Xenopus tropicalis: one gene and its partner. The protein of the gene in region 1 binds, or shares a complex with, the protein of each later gene. Links are inferred from orthologs where the notes say so. Each region holds a gene or a part of one and is shown on either strand. Other genes may lie near its edges.

Region 1 (4,350 bases):
CAGGTAAGCAACTAGAATTACAAGGGGGTGACTAACTTGGCAACCCATAGTTATTTTACTTTGTGTCCTCTAAATGTCTTTACATTTGTCTATTTAGTTTTTGCTTTTGGACATTTTTCATCATTTCTAGATTGCATGATTGCAATCTAGAAAAAAAATCCACAATCCAAAATCACAAGAAAACATAAATGATATGTCCTTCTATGTGAATTATGGTTACTGTTTTTAGCCTCTTACAAAAAAAGTCATTTTAAAAATATAGTTTGTGACACTATTGAAGCAATCTATGTAAATAAATATGATAATTATGGTTCACTTATACTTTCTTAGCTTCAATTTTTAATTGCATATATATATCTGGATATTCCTGTTGGAAGCCAGTCCCTGGCTTCTGCAAAAGGTGTAAACTATATGTGTAGACTTCACATTTCTCTGCAGAGGTATTGCATAATACTCCTGAACTACAAACAAAGCATTCCGTCTAATTTAAATCATGAATAACAGTTTAGTTTAGAGACATAATCTTATGTCCCTGAAGCATGGTTAGATGAAAATTACAGAGGAGGAAAAAGATAGGCCCCACAGAGTTTGTTAGTGTGCTTATGCCATATAAATGCCATTAAAAACAAACATATTTAAAAAAAAACAAAAAAAAAAACAAACAATTTAACAGAAGTTCTTCCGAACCATGTTCCTCTATATAGGCTTGCAGACGGCTGATAAGATCGCTCTTGTTCCCCTTCACCTCTAAGCCACGAGCAAGGCACTCCTGCTTTAGTTCAGCCAACTAAAAAAAAAAAAAAAAAAAAAAAAAAAAAAAAAAAGGGAAAGAAATTATTGCATAAACTAACTTTCCAGGAACAATTATACTTGTGCCAAGAATTCAATATGTTGTTGCAAGAAATAAAATTGGTGAAATTCTCATTAGTAGAGAGAACGACTCCAGAGTGCTTCTGGATTACAGTATGTACAATCTAAGAAAGGGTTGTAATACATTTTTCCCTAATATTCTGAGAATACATTCTGAAAGTACTTTAAAGTGTGAGTAAAACAAAACTAGGGCTCACTAACATAAGTGCTAAATTTTACAAGCAACCAATCAACATTAGTTTTGACCAGTCTACTACTACTAGTGAAATAATGAAAGCAAAACCCTGATTGGTTGCTATGGGCAACTGTTCTGTAGCAATTTAGTGCCTCTCTTAGTGAAGTACATAGGAGGCATGTATGAGGGCGATAGGTCCTCTGTTACCTCACCATAACTGCAAATAAAGCTGGCCTTGTTTCGAATACAACCATGCAAAATACAATATTATAGTCATATGAAGTTACAAGCATAAGCGCAAGTAATTTCTTGCGCACTCTGTCTTAGCTATTTTTGTAAATTCAGATACAATAATCTGTAAAGTGTTAGTAGGTATTTATGCCGTTTAATTTATAATAACTGTACCCCTGTTTAGGTTTCCCCCTTAAAAAGCACTGTATATTTGTGGTGCTACTTAAATAAATCCCAGATAAATCTTGCATCACCACTAAAAAGCTGGATTTATAGGCATGATTCCAGAACTGTTGACAGTGTTTGCCCGTAATCCTATGGTAGATAATCATTTCAGTCATTTCTTGGGCCACTTTAGCAGTTTTAAAGTTAGTTGTTTTAGCCTTAACAAGATTAGTTTAGTTTAAAGGGTTCTTCCACTTAAACACTTTCTGCGCAATAAAGCAACTTTCCAATATACATGAACTTAAATTATTTTAATAATGTCAGGAATCCAAGCCAGGATTGCAGAAAATGTAATCAGATTTGTATTGTTAGTGCTGCTCAATCAGCATTTTTTCTTTAGGTTGAGAAAAGTGGATCTGCTCTCTTATGCAACTCCTTGTATCTGCACCGAAAAGTACAAATTTCTGCCTGCTTTCCCATTTTTCAGGTCAACCTCCACTCCGCTCCATATACCTGCACTTATTCCTATGGTGTGAACTCTTCATCTACTTCGGCTTCCTCTGTCTTCTCTTGGTTCTGGTCCAGGCAGGTGCATGTGCAGAACTTATACACAAAAAGACTGTTTTCCCACTCAACTGCACATGTACCTGCCTAGGCCCGAGAAAAGAAGACAGAAGATTATTGTGGCAAATATGATCCTACCCTGGGCTGGCGCAGTTTCTAGTTAACAGGAACAACGGGCCGGGGTGCCTAACAGTTTTGCACCCCCAGCAATTATAAATTAAGTTCTCCTCTAATGATAAAGAAACTCAATAACACTTGACACATGTAGAGAATCGGTGAATATCCTGAGGGAAAAAAGTTCTGTTGAAACACACAGATGTACCCATTGGTTTGAATTGATCTCACAAAGTTACAATTATTTCTGTAATTCACAAAATACAATTATTTTTGTTTTAAAATTCCAGAAAACAAACTAGAATGGGCACATTTCCTAAAAAAACCCAAAGAATCTAGCTGGGTGAGCTGGGTGGGCTGGGTTACAAACGAGAAATAAATCAGAGCAATTAGCAGCATCTAGCACTGCCATGGAATCACTAGGCCACAAATAAGTTGACAGGATTCTATTACAGGGATTTTATATCAATAGATTCATTTAACCCAATGCTGAAGTCCAACTACCAGCACTGCCTGCGGAAAGCCATTACAAACACTGGATGTAGACAGAACCTATACGGATAGAAGAACCCTGCGCTATTCATATAAAAGGTGCAGTGCCACAAAACGATTTCCAGTTATAACACGAGGCCCCGATAGAAAGAACCCACTCCCTGCGTGGAATACCTTCAGCTTGTGAAGCTCCACAGTTTCCGCCATCTTTCAATCGCCAACTTGCCTTGCGCAGCACAACTCAGGTGCGACACGCGGATTGGTTCGTCGCCCAGTTGACGTCAGTGGAAAAATACGCGCGGCAATTTGGATCGACAGAGGTGGAAGTAACCAACAAATTTCTATTTATCAACTTCCTGTGAGCTCTCTGCCGCCTTCCAGAAAGCAGAACCTCGTCCTTCCAAAAGAAATTAAACAATACAGCCCTATAAGTGAGAGGAGAGACCTTTGGCCTTTACGGGGTCAAGCCGCCACTGCAGAGGTTGGGTCAGTTTGGACCAATCCGCTTTAGAGCTGTGAACAATCTTTCAGCCAATCACCGGGTCTATTTATGCAGCAGACTGAGTGACGCTTTGGGTAACTACTGCCATGTTATTGGAGGTCGGAAGTCAGGAGAAAGCTCACTTCCGTATATCTGCCATCTTAGTTGGGGATAGGAGATAGAAACGCAACTTGAGCACCACCCTCTTACAGCTTCCTCCCGGAAGTGCTTTGTGTTTCCTGGCTACCGGTGACAGGCGGTGGTCTAACTACAGGTGAGAGGGTTAAGCATTATTTATTATTATGCAGGGTGGTTATACTGTGTTGTGTAAAGGCGGTGCTTGACCGGTGGCAGTTCAGAAGCTAGAGGGGTGTATGCTGAACGTGCCTGTCTGTGCGTGACGGCGATCATGGATTTTTGACACCTTATTTTACGTTGCCATTGAGATAAAAGAGGAATTAGGTTTTTTTTTTTAAAAAATAAATCCTTAATTGGGTTATTATCTCTCTCATGACATGGGGTTACTTGCCATCTATGGCACCTGATGGGTAATAAAATACTGCGTTCAAAACATGTTTGGTTGTACCATCACATGCCTTTGTGCGGCTTCTCACAGACTCTTCTGCTTCTTTAAACAAACTATATTGTATGCATAGAAACTGCATGCATCAAGCCCATTCCCCAGCACCACATACACTCAAGAATTCCCGGTGGCGTCCCATAATAAGGGTCTGTAGTTCTTATTGAGCGTCTCATCCAGCCTTGCACTATTAGCTCCACTGAATTATGTAAACATCTGAGAGATTCATTAGCAGTAATTGTTTCCCTGCTTTCATTTCAATGGACAACAATAATGTATGGTTATAGACAAGGACATTTAAGAGTGTATTTGATACCTTTTTATTAACACACTGTCATTAGATCACAAAAAAGTTCATGGAATAACTTTAACAGTTTACTATGGGTAAAAATATTTTTTTAGTTCCAGTGTTGCTCTGTGTGCTGCTTGGTTCGTGGGTTAAATAATTAATACTAATTCAAAAAGAAGGATCCTCAACAGCCAGTCAAAAAGAGCCAAAGTAGATAGGACACAGCCCCCAGATTTAAAGAACAAGCCAAACAGCAGAATCCATACGGATCCCAAACTTCACACAAAAATTAAAAGAAAAAAATTTGCATTTTTATTTAAACATCCATATTAAAAACATAAGATACCCTGGCTTTTTAAAGGGTTGGTATGATAATCCAGCCTGCTCCC
Region 2 (4,438 bases), on another chromosome or scaffold:
AAGTAATTTCTGTCCTTTTCCCAACTACAAATATTATTAAAACAGTGTAGCAGTATTCAGCTGTCCTCTCCAATTCCCACAATCCCTTGTATGTTACGTGATTAACAGACCTGTCACTTGCATGCTGTTAACTGGCCCATAGCATACAATCTCATTTCACAATGATGCCATCAGATGTGGCCTATGGAGCTCTTGACCATGTAGCAGGTCATATTTAACCCACGGGCTTTCAGTTGAATAGTCCAGACCTTTATGTTTACCTGAAGCAAAAAAAGACAAATACAACCCTACCCTTTTCTGGCTGCCCAGCAAGACTCACTTTAGTGCTTTCCTAGGGGACATTAGAACTGTTTTCGTCCTTCCTTGTCACCAAGAGATGTAATTAGTTAAACTTGGCAACCCATCTGCAATCCACTGAGCTACCTCATTGCGCTGGGAAGTGGCAAAGTGACAGCAGCCTTTCCACTTATCATACCTTTCAGTAGAGTTTTAGTATGGCTTTAGTGGTCCCATAAACATTCAGTTTCATATATACATCTGGTTTCCAACTTAGCAGTTATCTTATAAACACATTTGCAACCCAGTTGACACTGAAGTAAAATTAAAAAAAACCAATAGCAATCTTTGGTAAGCATGGGGTTCAAAATCTCCTTTCAGAGTAACCTGGATTCTGCCCTTCCTGTTGGACTGTTTCAGCACAGATTACTCAGCAATGATGGCCTTACATTTATACATATTTTCTGCTGCTTTCTCTTCCAGAGGGAAAATGAATTTTCCATAATTATGAAATCTCCACAAAGAATTTTACCAAGCAATAATTTTGGAATCATACTTTTCCCAGACATGATTAGAAACTGGTTGAAGCTTCAGTTCTGCTAATAAAAATAACATTGTGGAACTACTGCCACAGTCACTTGGTGCCTCTTACCCTTCTTCTTGGGAACCCGAGTTGCACCATTTCAGAAAACTCTTTACCAATAAGTTAATTCTTCGGTCGTCTCCGGCACCATCTCCATCAATCAAAAGTCTTTTGCGGATAACTTCATCTGGAAAAGAACAGAAGGAAATGGAAATAGTGGATTTTATTGCTGCTGCACAAAGACAGGTCACTGTGTAAGAGAAGGTTACCATCAAGCAGTTATACAGTAACAGAACAGGATAGATTTGGATACCCTGCCTAGCATCTCCAAGAATTCTAGATCCACAGAGAGAGACATCCCAGGTGGCAGTATATGTGCGCCATACTGGTGCCAAGTACCAAGTTACCTGGACTTAATTCAAAGGAATTGTCAAAGTAATTTTGCTTAGAAACATTGCATCTGCAAAAATCAAACATATCTAAATTTCATGAATAAGTGTGGATATGTGGTTTGGCCAGCCTGTGAAATCTAATGGAGGACTCTTGCAGATGGAAAGCTGATCACCATTTAGTTAAGGAGGCAAAGGTAAACCTAACAACAGAGATAGCAGACCAAGAGGGTGCAGGGTACCCAACAGGTATATTTAATAGACTTAACCCCATACTATCAGGGAGATAATGATATTTCCCATGAGTGGCCTGGAAAAACAATATTCCATATTACCATTTCTTGTAAAGTGGAACGTGGTCTTAAAAATGCCTGACAGTATCACTGATCTCCCTTATAAGACTGACATCTTATAAAAAGAACTGTGTGGTGTTCAGTCTGACATAAAATTTCAGAATCTTGAGGGCTATAAACCATGGCTGAAAGGCTGACTAAACTGATCATAACATGAGCTCTAAATGAAATTAAAAAGACTTGTGAGGGTGCTGATCATTATATAGAAATACACAGATTCACATATTATTATGATTATCTGGCCAAACAAACTACCTTGGGCAATGGTCACTGGTTTTTGATACAAAATGATACATGGTCATATCATATATCCTGTGCCAATATATAGCAGTCTATCTGCAATTTATGCAAGGCAACAATAGAAAATAATCCCACCTGAGTGCCCTGTGTGTAGCTGCCAGCAAATGAGACCCCCATTTTAAGTCACCAGTAACAGTGAAAAGTGAGTAGGTGAAATCTCTGTATACATACATTAAAGTATCCATAGGATTTATTGACAGCAGCACATGTATATTATATTGTGATATAGACAGCTTATCTGATTAGATTACTACATTTATCATATTTATAAGATAGAGACAGAGTAAAGGTACATAAATATAATTCATACAAAATAATAGTGGCTGTAAATTGTCCCTAGCACCTTGGGCAATGGTGACTGGTTTATTGATACAAAATAATATAAAATATATAGCAGTCTGTCTACAATTTATGCCAGGCAACTTTATAAAAACCCTACTTGAGTGCCCTGTGTGTGTAGCTAACAGTCAATGAGACCCATTAAGTCACCAGTAACAGTGAAAAAGTGAGTAGGTGAAATCTCTGTATACATAAAAGTATCCATAGGATATATACACAGCGGTACATGTACATTAGGATATAGACAGATTATCTGATTAGATTACTATATATATATATCATACCCATAAGATAGAGACAGAGTACATCCATTCATACAGAATAACAGTGGCGGTATAAATATATATTGTCCCTAGGATAGATACAGCAGCGATATATATACTATCCATATGAGACTAAGTAGCACTACATAAATATATATATAATATTATCCATATAAGATACGCTGAGCGGGGAGTAGGGCCGGAAGTCCGTACCGCTCTCCTTCCCCCAGAGCCCTAACTCGAGCCCGGGGCTTTGCGGCCTAGCCGGCCGGTGTGGGTTTCCCGCGGTCGGTACCCGGGCAGGCAGAGCTGAGGCCGAGCCGGAGGGTGTAGGCGGTGGGGTAGGAGGGCGCTGTACTTACCGTCGGTGACGGCTCCCATGGCGGTGGCGGCGAGTAGCAGTGAGGTCAGACTCCCAGAATGCAGCAGCGGCGGCAGCAGCCGGAGAGACAGGCAGGAGCATGGAGGCCTCGGTCACCGCCTCGCCTTCCCTATAAGCTCCCCCCAGTGTCGGGCGGCCCAGCGCCTCCTGCCCACAGCCGGACACACAGCCCCAGGCAGGCCTCCCCGGGCCCCGCAGGTAAGTGCCACTCAGCTGGGAGTCACAGCCCCATTCCCTTTCCTCATTCCTGACATGATTATTGCCCCGAGTATTTATATTTCTACATAACTGCACTGCAATCCGTGCTGCCCTGGGACCTGCTGCCATTATACCAGTACTGGCACTCCATTACTAGCTCTAGTACTCCCCATTACTTACACTAGCACTAGTACTCCCCATTACTTACACTAGCACTAGTACTCCCCATTACTTACACTAGCACTAGTACTCCCCATTACTTACACTAGCACTAGTACTCCCCATTACTTACACTAGCACTAGTACTCCCCATTACTTACACTAGCACTAGTACTCCCCATTACTTACACTAGCACTAGTACTCCCCATTACTTACACTAGCACTAGTACTCCCCATTACTTAGACTAGCACTAGTACTCCCCATTACTTACACTAGCACTAGTACTCCCCATTACTTACACTAGCACTAGTACTCCCCATTACTTAGACTAGCACTAGTACTCCCCATTACTTACACTAGCACTAGTACTCCCCATTACTTACACTAGCACTAGTACTCCCCATTACTTACACTAGCACTAGTACTCCCCATTACTTAGACTAGCACTAGTACTCCCCATTACTTACACTAGCACTAGTACTCCCCATTACTTAGACTAGCACTAGTACTCCCCATTACTTACACTAGCACTAGTACTCCCCATTACTTACACTAGCACTAGTACTCCCCATTACTTACACTAGCACTAGTACTCCCCATTACTTAGACTAGCACTAGTACTCCCCATTACTTACACTAGCACTAGTACTCCCCATTACTTACACTAGCACTAGTACTCCCCATTACTTAGACTAGCACTAGTACTCCCCATTACTTACACTAGCACTAGTACTCCCCATTACTTACACTAGCACTAGTACTCCCCATTACTTACACTAGCACTAGTACTCCCCATTACTTACACTAGCACTAGTACTCCCCATTACTTACACTAGCACTAGTACTCCCCATTACTTACACTAGCACTAGTACTCCCCATTACTTACACTAGCACTAGTACTCCCCATTACTTACACTAGCACTAGTACTCCCCATTACTTACACTAGCACTAGTACTCCCCAATACTTACACTAGCACTAGTACTCCCCATTACTTAGACTAGCACTAGTACTCCCCATTACTTACACTAGCACTAGTACTCCCCATTACTTAGACTAGCACTAGTACTCCCCATTACTTACACAAGCACTAGTACTCCCCATTACTTACACTAGCACTAGTACTCCCCATTACTTAGACTAGCACTAGTACTCCCCATTACTTACACTAGCACTAGTACTCCCCATTACTTA

Evidence for each region.
Region 2: sarnp (region 1) and thoc7 share a complex: the UniProt entries of both Homo sapiens proteins name them as parts of the transcription/export (TREX) complex. The link is inferred for Xenopus tropicalis from reciprocal best matches to the Homo sapiens genes SARNP and THOC7.

The regions. Positions count from the first base shown.
Region 1 is NC_030678.2:138,209,582-138,213,931, forward strand, and holds the start of sarnp (SAP domain-containing ribonucleoprotein), read right to left. Parts: upstream 3,104-4,350; 5' UTR 2,819-3,103; coding exon 2,786-2,818; intron 788-2,785; coding exon 688-787; coding exon of another isoform or gene 664-687; intron 1-663. UniProt on the Homo sapiens protein: Binds both single-stranded and double-stranded DNA with higher affinity for the single-stranded form. Specifically binds to scaffold/matrix attachment region DNA. Also binds single-stranded RNA. Enhances RNA unwinding activity of DDX39A.
Region 2 is NC_030680.2:145,033,190-145,037,627, reverse strand, and holds the start of thoc7 (THO complex subunit 7 homolog), read right to left. Parts: upstream 2,924-4,438; 5' UTR 2,885-2,923; coding exon 2,866-2,884; exon of another isoform or gene 2,707-2,865; intron 1,047-2,706; coding exon 929-1,046; intron 1-928. Other genes in the region: atxn7 (ataxin-7), read left to right, coding at 2,924-3,083. UniProt on the Homo sapiens protein: Component of the THO subcomplex of the TREX complex which is thought to couple mRNA transcription, processing and nuclear export, and which specifically associates with spliced mRNA and not with unspliced pre-mRNA.